Linked DNA regions of Macaca mulatta. The protein of the gene in region 1 binds, or shares a complex with, the protein of each later gene. Links are inferred from orthologs where the notes say so. Each region holds a gene or a part of one and is shown in the gene's direction. Other genes may lie near its edges.

Region 1 (4,307 bases):
AAGTAAATATTCTCTCCCCCCTCCCCGGCCCCAATCTGCAGGTCAGAAAAGAGCGCAGAAAAGAGCGGGGCTAGAATTTACACTTATCTTTTATTCCTCAGAGCTCACACTCCTTTCCTAGAGCTTGCCATCACACCACACGGGGTCATTGACTTAACACCTACTGCGTGCTAGACTACTCTGCTAAGTGCGGAGGACGCAGAAATTAATGTCAAAGATAATCCTTGCCTTCACAGTATTCTGTCTAGCTTAAGATGAGTTCTCAGTTGAAGGAAATCTAGCTAATTCCAACTAACGTGCACTTCTTTTGAATAAAAACCATCAACTTATTTGAATTCTTAAGTTTCCTCCTAAACTCCAACATTTCAGGAGGAAGGGGTCACATGCTAGTCACCTTTGCAATCTCAAACCCAAAGGATGCCTAACTTGGTCAAATGCATGGCACATTCAATGTCTGTTGAATACAAGTAAAGCTCATAGTACCTAGCCTATTTTTCATTATCCCTTGAGTTGAAAACTGGTTAACAAATCAGAGTCACAGTCCTAAGGGCAACAACTTTTTAAAGGCTCACCTAACAAACTGTAGGATCCCTGACTGAGAGTGGCTGACTATGGCAGTATATGGGCATACTAATCACTGGAAGAAATACTCAACAGCGAGAAATAGCCAAGGAAAAGCCCTACTTTTCAAAAATATTTAAAAAACAAAACAAAACAAAACAACTCAACAACTACGAAGACAAAACGCTAGATCTGAGCACCCTGTAAGTCGCTTTCCCGTGGGCCGGGTAAAGATTTTAAAACCCGCCGCCTCCAGGAGGGCGGACACGTGCACAAGGATTAGCTGAAAACTCGGTGCCCAGTCTGGCTGGGAGGATTGCTAAAATCGACCTACCGTTAACACTCTGGCTACTCTGAAATTAGCAGAGCTGTAGTCAAGTAAGTAACCCAAGAAAAGGCGCACAGAGCCGCCGCCGCCGGTGTAGCCCGGGGGCATCCCCTTCTACCTTGCAAACGGGGCCTGGGATCCGGTCCCTCTCTTCTTCCTCCACCTCCTCTGCGGTGGTGTGCCGCTTAGTTGGCGGCGCGGCATCTTTTTCGTTTCTTTTTGGCTTCTTCGCCTGCACTGCCAAGCCTCCACGCCGTTTCCTCTTGGTTGCCGCCATCTTGCCTTACTGCCTGCGCTCTTGGCCTGTTTTCCGGCGTTGCCTCTCGCTCCTCTTTCCGATCTCTATGGTTCGGTGGCTCTAAGCGCTCAGCTACGCGGTTGTCCTCCAGGTCTGCGGTGTCTCCTTCCGGTCTCAGTGGCGCTGCACGCGCGGCTCTCTAGGCCTCCTTCAGCTCTGTGGTGACGGTGGCGGAAGTGGAGGGCAGGTCTGAAGAGTGGCGGGACCGGCTCCACTTCCTACGCGATTTCTCAGAGCTGTCTAGCTCCTCCTCAGGGACTTTCCTGGGAAGGTCTCTCGGGCGTCCAGACCCCACCGCAAAGGTAGGGTGTCCGCACTCGGGGACCCCGAGACTAATAAGCGATGCTGTCCCGCGGGCGGGCTGGTGAATGGGCTTGTGTGGGACTCTTGGGGGATCTTCTGGACACTCTGGGCGCTCCCCTCCATCGCCTGTTCTGTTGGAAGCGAGGCTGGTGCCGCGGTCGGATTCATAGCTCCTGTTTGTTTGGCCGGGAGAAGCTGGCCCCAAGCGGAGATACCGTGTCAGTTGCGTGTCTTCATTCTTCACAACTTTTCACGTTATTGTCCTCTTACAGAGACGAGGAAATAGTAACTTAATTTTCCCGCAAAATTACAAAGACAATTAAGTGACATAGGTGGGGTTCGGCCTGGTCAGCTGAGTTCAGCCGCCCAGCCCCCGTCCACCTCTCAGCGCAGGTGGAGCTCGCCAGACCTCGCCTGCACTGATGTGAGTTTTATTGTCCAGTCCCTTCAGGTGTTTCGCGATTCGCGGAGCAGGTGTTGGCCCCAGGAGCATTTCCCTCCGGGCCGAATGCGCAGTGGACTATGCCCCTTCTGACCCAGCAGATCCAAGATGAGGATGATCAGTACAGCCTTGTGGCCAGCCTTGACAACGTTAGGAATCTCTCCACTATTTTGAAAGCTATTCATTTCCGAGAGCATGCCACGTGTTTCGCAACTAAAAATGGTATCAAAGTAACAGTGGAAAATGCAAAGTGTGTGCAAGCAAATGCTTTTATTCAGGTATGGAAGTAGGCGCCTTTAAGCCTGTGCCATAGATATTCTAAATGCAATTTAATGAAATCCGAAGGTTTTAGTAGACATAATAAATAACTTAATACTCATAATAACTTAATAGTCAATAGTCATAATAAATAATAGATAAATAACTTAATAGTCTTACGTTAGAGAACAAACGTCATTACTTGAATTTTTTTTTTCTCTCCCGGTAACAAATTCTTTTCCCATCTTGTTTTACAGAGATAATGGTTAGTAATGACTAAAGTTTATTAAACTAGACTATCGGCTAGGCTACAGTCTTCTTAGTGTTTAACTTATTTAATTTTAACAATAGTCCTATAAGACAGGTTCTATTGTTATTCCCGTTTTATATATGTGGAAACGAGGCACAATTTTAAGTGATTTGCCAACAGTCCCACAGCTGGTAAGTGGCTGAATTGGGATAAGAACCCTGAACATTTGTTTCCAGAATATCTGCTCTTTTTACCACTGCGATACTACCACCTTGCTGTTACTAAAGAGTATTTTTTCCCTTTACTGGTTGTAATAGAATTTTTGTTCTTCCAAAGTAATATTTGTATGGTTCAGATAGGATTGCAAATTCAACTAAGCATTTTTTTTAACACGTAAGTGCACAGCATGACCTCAGGGATAGAGAGGTAAATAAGACATGGTTCTCGTCCTCGTGCGGCAACATGGTATAGTGGCTCACACCTGTATTTCCAGCTGCTCAGGAGACTGAGGCTGAGGCACGAAGATCGCTTGAACTCAGGCATTAAAGACCAGCCTGAGTAACCGTAGTGAGACCCCCGAATCAATAAAAAATAATAATAAAAGTTGTAACTAATATTGCTCATGCATTATCAAGTCATCCGTCTGTTTTCCAAGTGACCTTAGCAGTAGTGATACGCACAAAAACGAGATAAGGGAGAGTCCCAGAGGGATAGTTTTAGATCCAGGAATGGATATAAGGATGCTTCAAAGGATGTCTCTAAGATGTTTTGATTGCTAATCAGAAATTATTCTCATGGGATTAGCACAGTATTGTATTTTTTAAACATATAAAGTGAAATCTAGGACCTTGTATATTTTCATTCTTTTACATAACAATTTTCATTTTTACTTTTTCCGTAGGCTGGAATATTTCAGGAATTTAAAGTTCAGGAAGAGTCTGTTACTTTTCGAATTAATTTAACTGTCCTTTTAGACTGTTTGTCTATTTTTGGATCAAGTCCTATGCCAGGTAAACTATTATCAGTATAAAGACATAAAAGTGTTATATACAGTGGTCAGAAAAATACAGGAAGTTATTTGGAATATAAACATTTGTTCAGAAAGCTAATGCCAATTCATTTTTCGGTGGCCACAGTCATGGGTTCTAACATTTCACAATGTTAATTGCAAGTATGTTTATAGTTCTTTCATATTTGTAAAAGTATTTACATTCATCTTTTTTTAATTTACAGGGCTTTGAGGGATTTTAAATTTGAACTGGCCAAAAGAATACTTTGGACATGTCTTTAATATCTTTAACATTGTGAAATGTTTTAATTGCTTCTCTTCCCTAACTTGTCCAGAATTACTCAGCTAGTTAGTGGCAGAGAAAAACGAAAGCCAGTTCTCCTGACTCCTAGTTTACTGTGTTCAAAATTTGTTTCTTTTAAGCTATATTTTATAAGTTATGTCTATTTTGATAAATGATTTTTTGGTGTTTTTGAGACGGAGTTTCTCACTTGTTGCCCAAGCTGGAGTACAATGGCAGAATCTCGGCTCACTGCAACCTCTGCCTCCCAGGTTCAAGCGCTTCTCCTGCCTCAGCCTCCCAAGTAGCTGGGATTACAGGCACGTGCCACCATGCCCGGCTACTTTTTTGTATTTTTAGTAGAGATGAGATTTCACCATGTTAGCCAGGCTGGTCTCAAACTCCAGACCTCAGGTGATCTGCCCGCCTCAGACTCCTGAAGTGCTGGGATTACAGGCACAAGCCACCGTGCCCGGCTGCCAAATGATTTTCTTTAGAATGTATATCTTTTTATTTGTTAAGGGAATTATTTTTAAGAATGGTGAAATTCAATTGCTGTAGGTATAAAACTGTAAGGA
Region 2 (4,279 bases), on another chromosome or scaffold:
CCTGTGTCCATGTGTTCTCATTGTTCAACTCCCACGTATGAGTGAGAACATGCAATGTTTGGTTTTCTGTCCTTGTGATATTTTGCTGAGAATGATGGTTTCCAACCTCATCCATGTCCCTGCAAAGGGCATGAACTCATCCTTTTATATGGCTGTATAGTATTCCATGGTGTATATGTCCAACTTGTCTTTATCCAGTCTGTTATTGATGGACATTTGGGATGGTTCCAAGTCTTTGCTATTGTGAATAGTGCCACAATAAACATAACGTGTGCATGTGTCTTTAAAAATAATCTAGGCCTGGCACAGTGGCTCATGCCCATAATCCCAGCACTTTGGGATTATAGCCGAGATCGCACCACTGCACTCCAGCCTGGGCAATAGAGGGAGACTCCGTCTAAAAAAAAAAAAAATTAACCTTGCCTGGTAGCTTGTGCCTGTAATCCCAACTACTCGGGAAGCTGAGGCAGGAGAATCCCTTGAACCCAGGAAGTGGAGGTTGCAGAGGTCGGAGATCACGCCATTGCACTCCAGCCTGGGTAACAGAGCCAGACTCCGTCTCAAAATCATCATCATCATCATCATCATCTGCATTGTCTTGATTCTATATGTCAAGTTAAAGACAACGGTCTAGGCTCCTATTTGCAGAGGGCATTAAAAATAACAATTAACATAGATAATCTTTAGTCTTTGAAAAACCAAATTAGATACAATTGTTGCTTCATTTCCCCCTTTAAAATTTCTTTCCTTTTAAAAAAACCTAATGACATTATTTATGCTAATAAGAATTTTATCGGATGTAATAAAGTTCATCTTGAGGCAAACTGCAGAATTACCACTTAACGTCAGTGTTCTTTAAGCATCCCGTCTTTACCAACTAGCCAGTAATATGTTAAATTTTTTAAAAAGTCATTTAAAACAGTTTTCAGAACCTTAATCAACCAAGATGCTTCAATACCAAAGTACCGGTACCGTCATCGGAGGCTAGAGGGTTTAAAGCTGCTCTACCTTAGAGAGGTATATTTAAGATAATATTGTTTAACCTTTATAAACGACTAATTTTATTTGGATATTTTTAAATAGCACTTGGAGTAGGTGTCACAAAATTCTTTCAAAACGTGAATTCTCAGAACCACCTCCCCAAATCTGGGGCTTGAAGCCACCGCCTCACTAAAAGCAGATCCCACATTACCCCGGAGCGCCGAGGCATACCCGGAGACTGGGACCCCACCTCCTCGGGGCGTGACCTGTGATCCTTGACCCGTGACCCCACCTTCTCTGGGGCGTGACCCCTGGCCCCACCACCCCAGGGGCGTGGCCCGGAGGCAATCCTGGCAAGAGCCGGGTAGCCCGAGCCGGGCGGAACCACTGTGCGCGCCGCCGTGTTTCCGGGCCGGGACACTCAGGGCGCGACACTTATCTGTTACCCACAGAAGCCGTCGCGGCTGCGGCAGGCGCGGCCATGAGGTTTCGGGCTAAGATCGTGGACGGGGCCTGTCTGAACCACTTCACACGTGAGCAGGGAGGCCGGAGGGGAGCGAGGGAGGAACGGAAGGAAGCAGTGAGCGCGCGGTGGGGACCGCGGAGGAAGATCAGAGCGGGGATGGGCGGTGGAAGGGGCAGCGAGATGAGCCGCGGGAGGGGCCGCGGGAGGATGGGGCAGGCATAGGGGTGCTGGTGGAGGCCGCGGGATGATGGGCCGGGAGTGCGCGGGTCGGATCGTAGGGCACTTGGGGTGAAGACGGCTTTCAAGGGACGTTTCTGAAACTTGATTCCGATCACGCGGCTTTAAAAGCAAGCGGCCACTGCTCCCACAGACGGCTTTATCAGGCATTGACATTCCTTCAAGGCCCCATTCGTCCCTCCACCCTGACAGTGCCTAACCTTGCATTGAACTCTGTACTGCGGTACCCAGTAGTCAATAAGTTCGTGTTAAATGAATGAATGACTAGTAGGTGCCTGTTTTTTTATTTGAGCACTGATGATGTATGCTGTACATCTCCCCGGGTTTGTTGGGAGAATTGCGTGACATCATACTTTCCAGTGTGATACCAATGTAAGTGGTTATTTTTCCACCGAGAAGTTGCACCATGATGAACAAGAAATTCTGTAAAATAAGTTGGTCTCTAGGATACATGATGTGCGTTTTAGTGATTCCTTATTTTAACCCCTGCTTTAGGAATCAGTAACATGATAGCCAAGCTTGCCAAAACCTGCACCCTCCGCATCAGCCCTGATAAGCTTAACTTCATCCTTTGTGACAAGCTGGCTAATGGAGGAGTGAGCATGTGGTGTGAGCTGGAACAGGTGAGCAAAAACTTCTGAGAGGCCTGCAATCTGCAGATTGTCTCTGGAAAGACCACAAGTGCCCTGCCTCATCCCCCATGTTTTTCCCTTAGGAGAACTTCTTCAACGAATTTCAAATGGAGGGTGTCTCTGCAGAAAACAATGAGATTTATTTAGAGCTAACATCGGAAAACTTATCTCGAGCCTTGAAAACTGCCCAGAATGCCAGAGCCTTGAAAATCAAACTGACTAATAAACACTTTCCCTGCCTCACAGTCTCCGTGGAGCTGGTGAGTAGGAGAGTCAGGGTTTCAGAAATTTCCCACAGAAGTCTTGGCTTCGAAGGAATAGACATAGTTAGCCTAGCCTCTTTAGCAATAAATATTGTTGAAAGCTATTTGGTTTATTTAAATTTAAAGAGCTGGTCCATAACTATATTTTGCATTAGAGTCAGTTCCTCCTCATTTTAAAATAGTGTTGTTATCCTATGCATTCGGCTAGACTGCTGCTTTTTCCAAGCCATAAAACTTCCAGCCTCTCTATTTCTTGTAGTGGTATTGTCACCTTGTCTAGAAATCATGGTTTCTATGCATTTTCACCGTTGACACATTTTCTCCCCACTCCTACCCTGCCTCATCTGCTCTGATAACCTTTAAATGGCCCCTCATTGTTCAGTACACATATGTTTTATATGCTACTGCCAGATGAATTTAGTGCACAGCTGTCCTCCAAACACACAAATACACAACCTCATGCGCACACATACAACCCAGAGTTGCTCTTGTTACTCATGGAATGAGGTTCGTATTTCCTTTTTTTTTCCGAGACTGAGTCTCTCTCTTGTCACCCAGGCTGGAGTGCAGTGGTGCGATCTCGGCTCACTGCAACCTCCGCCTCCCAGGTTCAAGTGATTTTCATGCCTCAGCCTCCCAAGCAGCTGGGATTACAGGCGCCCACCACCACACCCGGCTAATTTTTGTATTTTTTTAGTAGAGTTGGGGTTTCACCATGTTGGCCAGGCTGGTCTTGAACTCCTGACCTCAAGTGATCCACCTACCTCGTCCTCTCAAAGGCCTCCCAAAGTGCTGCGATTATAGGCATGAACCACCGCGCCCGACCCAACTTTTCTTCATAACTCTCGACTCTGCAGTCAGGCAGTTCTTAGAGCTAATTAGGGTATTTCATGTCACAACATAAGTTTGTTATGTTTTTCCTATTAAGGAAAAGCAAGATAGTAACGTATAATATTTTATGTCCAAAAGTGCAAGATATTTTGTTCTGCGAGTCTCATAGAAGCCCCTAGAAGTAAATATAGTTTGCCTTTTAACTGTTTAGAAACTGCAGCCCCCTGAGTGTCCTATGCCCAAAGAGTGGCCTTCTCTTGGTTGCATCAACATAGCAGGCTTGCTTCTTTCTGCCTCATGGCTTTACATGTGCTGTTTCCCCAGCCTGAAGCCCTGTCCCCTTGTTCCTGTCTTCCCACGGCTGCTGCTTTTGGTGGTATCTGAAATGTCACCTCGTCAGTCTAAGGAAACTCCCCCACACTCACTCTGGTCACTGTGGTTTGCTTTCTCACGACTCTAATGAGCATGTCATGCAATTTCATTTGTTTGCATTTTTATTGATCTGTTTGTTCCACTGGAATATTGAGGACCTTTTTGTCTTATTTACCACACTTCCCAGTTCCTGAAAGTACCCAGAGTCTGTTCCGTAAATATTGGCACCATCAATATTGGTCGAATGGCTTTTCAGTGAATAAATTGACAGCATTCCACTTAGATTTGGCATTTCAACTTTTTTGTCCTCGGGTCTTTGGGTGGTTTTGTTGTTGCTTAATATTAACAACATAAAAATATTTTTAAATTAATTCTTTTCTTGGCAGTTATCTATGTCAAGCAGTAGCCGCATTGTGACACATGACATCCCTATAAAGGTGATTCCTAGGAAATTGTGGAAGGACTTGCAAGAACCGGTGGTCCCAGATCCTGATGTA
Region 3 (4,086 bases), on another chromosome or scaffold:
CTGCCACCACACCCGGTTAATTTTTGTATTTTTAGTAGAGACAGGGTTTCATCATGTTGCTCAGGCTGGTCTTGAACTCAGGTGATCCACCTGGCTTGGCCTCCCAAAGTGCTGGGATTACAGGCATGAGTCACCGCAAGTCACCTGGCCAAGCCTTTTAACTTTTATGTTACTTTGTAAATAGGACCAGTGCACACAGAATCAGGGAAGAAAGGCAGATTGTACTATTGCCACACTACTGGAAAAATCATCTCCCAGTTTACAAAACCTCACATAAAATGGAAACCTCTATTGAAGGCCCATGTAAAGCTGTGCAGCTTGTTCAATGAACAACTTTAGAGGGTGACATTTATTTCACAGGCTATTATACTTGCTATAATTTAAAAAGAATGTGTTCTTTTACAATTCGTACTGTATTTATACAGTGGCATTTTAGTACTTGCATGTGGTTATACATATTTTAACTTTCTAAGCATGCCACTTTATTAATTTCTTTTCCAGAAATAAGACTATAACCCCTGTCTCCTTACTACCAGAATGAGCTATCATCAATACACTAAGGTGGTTCTGAAATGCTAACAGCATAGTCTTTTTTTTTCTTTTTAAGTCTTTTGTTGATTTTTTTTTTTTTTTTTTTTTTTTTTTTGAGAGGAAGTTTCGCTCTTGTCACCCAGGCAAGAGCAATGGCGCGATCTCAACTCACTGCAACCTCTGCCTCCGGGGTTGAAGCGATTCTTCTGCCTCAGCCTCCCGAGTAGCTGCAATTACAGGCGCCACCACCACGCCGGGCTAATTTTTATCTATTTATTTATTTTTAGTAGAAACAGGGTTTCACCATGTTTACCAGGCTGGTCTTGAACTCCTCAGATGATCCACCCGCCTCGGCCACCCAAAGTGCTGGGATTACAGGCGTGAGCCACTGCACCCAGCCTTTTGTTGATTTTAATAGATACATGGAATACTCTACCATTAAGCAAAATTGTATAATTCTATTTCATGGAACTTTGGGAGACAGAGGAATTGGCTGTCTCTTTTTTAGGACACTTATTCTCTCCCTGAAAAGCAACTGTAATTTTTTGACATTTGTCATCTGCAGAGTTCACAGGCCCGCCACACCTCTACCTCCAAATCTCAGTTTTACTTTCACTTCAGATCTTTCCAGGCTTCCCTCTCTCCCCGCATCGATCAGTAGATATTATTCCTATTTTTCCACAGGATATCTAGGTCTTAATTTTTTCTTCTACTTCCTGACCAGCCTGATATTATTATTGCCAACACTTTCTTCCCCGGGAAACTTCCAGAGTGGTCCTCTGAGCCATCTCCATCCTGAGCGGGGAAATCTTGCTACATTCTCAGGACCCAGGAGAAGGGCCCTGCAAATGGGTAAGACGGAGGCAGTGCTGCCTAGTGGTGAGAGCCTGGGAGCAGGGGAGTATGTGTGCAGGTTGGTCTTTGACTCAACGTAGTACAATTGTGCTCAGTGTTCATCTCAGCCGCAGCCGGCCTAAGAAAGGCCACCCCAGCCCTCCCGAGGCCGTGGGCAGCGTGCAGAGGTCAGACTTCCAGGGAAGGCCAAGGGGCGCTTTAAGTAATGAGACGGCCCCGGCCAGGAGGTTGGATGCAGAAAACATTTGCACCCGGGCTCAGATTCTTCCCGTGTGGCCCAAACCTCCACTCGTGGCCCGTGCCCTGCTGCCAGACGCCCTGACCTCCGCGCCCGGAGGCCTCGCTCCCCGCCTGTGCCCAGGCCAGGCCCGGGACTCCATTCCTGTATCCCGCTCACCTCCAGACTGCAGTCGCCGCCGCCGTTGGGCCGTGGCTCCGAAGGCGGGCTCCGGGCTCCTCCAACCTGCGGGCCGAGCCAGGGCCCCCGGACGGGGGCTCGCGCCGGACCGGCCGGGTCCCCGGCGGTGCGGGCCGGGTGGGAACCCCGGGGGATCCCGGGAGGGGAGGGGGTCCCGGGCCGGGGCCGGGGGTGGGGTCTGGCACCGGAGCTTTCAGTTTGTTCCGCTGTTTGAAATTGGCGCCGGCGGAGCGTTAAGGTCACGTGACGGAACGTCGCCAATCGGCGCCGGCCTTGTCTCGGCGTTCCGGGCTCGAAGGCTGTGCGGTCTGACAGGAGCTGCGGCCCAGTCCGGCCCCGGCTGGTAAGGCGGGCCGCGGGCCGGCTTGCGGGGGAAGAAGTGGCCGTGGGGCCTGGGAGGGGCCGGAGGGGTCCCCGCCGCGTGGGTGGGCGAGCGGAGGGACAGTCTGGGGACGTGCGGAAGCGGCGCGACAGGCCCGGGTCCCTGGGTCCGCTTTCCCTGCCGCCATAGTCACGCCGGGCGACACGCCCCCGCTTCCCCTCGGGCTGCTCTGCTCCCCTCTTCCAAGGTCGGCTTCGGGTGATTTCCTTCCTGGGGAAAATCGTACCCCGTTTTCGTACAGTGAACGATCGTCTGCTCCCCCCGATTAGACTGAGGGTTCTTTGAGGGCTGTGTATTATCTCAGCTTTCTTCCATCTTGAAAAAAATGTCGGCCCCACGAACCCTACCTCTGCGCGAAATCTTCAAGTACTGACCTGTCTTTGGCCCCTCCCAAAGCCAAGCCTTCGGCTATGGTAGACGGTGGTGCTTTCTTTATTTACTTAGTCAACCAGTCTAGTTGAGCACCTGCTCTGTGCCAGGTCCCGCCAGGTCCTGAAGATACAATGGCAGACAAGGTTCTTTCCTTCCCCCGGGCTCACAGTCCAATCGGGGAAGAGGGGCACTGATATTTTAAAAGAATCAAATAGTCCCGGCGCGGTGGCTCACGCCTGTAATCCCAGCACTCTGGGAGGCCGAGGCGGGCGGATCACCTGAGGTCAGGAGTTCGAGACCAACCTGGCGAACATGGTGAAACCCCATCTCTACTACTAATAACAAAAAAAATTAGCCGGGCATGGCGGCACATGCCTGTAGTCCCAGTTACTTGGGAGGCTGAGGCAGGAGAATTGCTGGAACCTGGGAGGCGGAGGTTGCAGTGAGCCAAGACTGCACCGCTGCACTCTCCAGCCTGGGCAACAAAGTGAGACTCTGTCTCTAAAAAAATAAAATAAAATAAAATAAAATAAAAGAATCAAATAAACAAATGTGGGCTGGGCATAGTGGCTTACGCCTGTAATCCCAGCACTTTAGGAGGCCGAGGTGGGTGGATCATTTGAGGTCACGAGTTCGAGACCAGCCTGGCCAACATAGCGAAACCACTTCTCTACTAAAAATTAGCCGCGCGTGGTGGTGCATGCCTGTAGTCTCAGCTACTCTGGAGGCTGAGGTGGAAGGATGACCTGAGGCCGAGGGGTGGAGGCTATGGTGAGCCGTGATCACACCACTGCACTCCAGCCTGGGTGACAGAGGAAGACACCGTCTTCAAAACGAACAAACAAATGTGGCATTATTGCTGTAAAGTGAAACATGAGAGGTTAATGATACTTTGAGTATTTACAATAAGATCTTGAGAGGTAGGACAGGAAAGGCTTTTCTAATGAGAGCTTGGTGTGAGATCTGATGCCTTTTACAAAGAAAGGAGGGAGCCGCGCTAAGCAGAGGGAATCAGGCGTGCAAAGGCTGGATGGCAGGAGGAAGCACAGTGAGTACAAAGGCTAAGGAATATCTGAAGAGTTTGAGCTAATTGACCTGAATGGAGTGTGGTGTGAGTTGAAGCTGGAGCCAGGGGAAGCGGGGCCTTAGCCATACAGAGAAGTTTTGTGCTTATCCAAGAATTAAAGGAAGCCAATCATAAGCTTTAAGCAGAAGTGAACCCAGGTCAGATCTGCATTTTAAAAGGTCAGTCTATAGCGGGGTTTGCTAGAGTGGATTAGGGCAGAACAGTTGGATATTGCAGTACTCCAGGCAAGAACTGCTGGAGCTTGAAAAATGGTGGCGGGGAGAGAGAGAAGAAAAAGAAGGAGACAGCGTGAAAAAGGGGCATTACGAAAACATGTTTAAGAGGTAAAGTTGACAGGGCTTGATGGTGGGTTGGATGGGAAATAGAAGTGTCAAGATTTTTGGCTGCATAGCTGAAGGAATAATGACACCATTCCCTGACCAAGCGCCCTGGAAGATAATC

Evidence for each region.
Region 2: the proteins of RAD1 (region 1) and HUS1 are in contact, whole or in part, in a crystal structure (PDB 8GNN), measured with the Homo sapiens proteins. The link is inferred for Macaca mulatta from reciprocal best matches to the Homo sapiens genes RAD1 and HUS1. Residues at the interface, in NP_002844.1 of Homo sapiens: Asn85, Val88, Asp91, Cys92, Ser94, Ile95, Phe96, Gly97, Ser98, Gly127, Val128, Val129, Thr130, Val131, Cys132, Lys133, Ile134, Asn135, Gln137; in NP_004498.1 of Homo sapiens: Thr165, Ser168, Val169, Lys172, Met173, Asn175, Ile176, Glu197, Leu198, Val199, Cys200, Val201, Thr202, Thr203, His204, Phe205, Lys206.
Region 3: the proteins of RAD1 (region 1) and RHNO1 are in contact, whole or in part, in a crystal structure (PDB 6J8Y), measured with the Homo sapiens proteins. The link is inferred for Macaca mulatta from reciprocal best matches to the Homo sapiens genes RAD1 and RHNO1. Residues at the interface, in NP_002844.1 of Homo sapiens: Asn47, Gly48, Ile49, Lys50, Phe64, Ile65, Gln66, Ser149, Lys155, Ile157, Glu211, Ala212, Lys240, Val241, Ser242, Arg244, Gln254, Tyr255, Met256, Phe266, Glu268; in NP_001239428.1 of Homo sapiens: Ser55, Trp56, Val57, Ser58, Pro59, Asp60, Phe61, Asp62, Thr63.

The regions. Positions count from the first base shown.
Region 1 is NC_133411.1:35,974,002-35,978,308, reverse strand, and holds the start of RAD1 (cell cycle checkpoint protein RAD1), read left to right. Parts: upstream 1-1,385; 5' UTR 1,386-1,489; intron 1,490-1,932; 5' UTR 1,933-2,012; coding exon 2,013-2,210; intron 2,211-3,341; coding exon 3,342-3,450; intron 3,451-4,307. UniProt on the Homo sapiens protein: Component of the 9-1-1 cell-cycle checkpoint response complex that plays a major role in DNA repair. The 9-1-1 complex is recruited to DNA lesion upon damage by the RAD17-replication factor C (RFC) clamp loader complex.
Region 2 is NC_133408.1:80,603,445-80,607,723, forward strand, and holds the start of HUS1 (checkpoint protein HUS1), read left to right. Parts: upstream 1-1,425; 5' UTR 1,426-1,462; coding exon 1,463-1,514; intron 1,515-2,179; coding exon 2,180-2,307; intron 2,308-2,399; coding exon 2,400-2,576; intron 2,577-4,168; coding exon 4,169-4,276; intron 4,277-4,279. UniProt on the Homo sapiens protein: Component of the 9-1-1 cell-cycle checkpoint response complex that plays a major role in DNA repair. The 9-1-1 complex is recruited to DNA lesion upon damage by the RAD17-replication factor C (RFC) clamp loader complex.
Region 3 is NC_133416.1:3,773,073-3,777,158, forward strand, and holds the start of RHNO1 (RAD9, HUS1, RAD1-interacting nuclear orphan protein 1), read left to right. Parts: upstream 1-1,248; 5' UTR 1,249-1,383; intron 1,384-1,783; exon of another isoform or gene 1,784-2,147; intron 2,148-4,086. UniProt on the Homo sapiens protein: Involved in microhomology-mediated end-joining (MMEJ) DNA repair by promoting recruitment of polymerase theta (POLQ) to DNA damage sites during mitosis.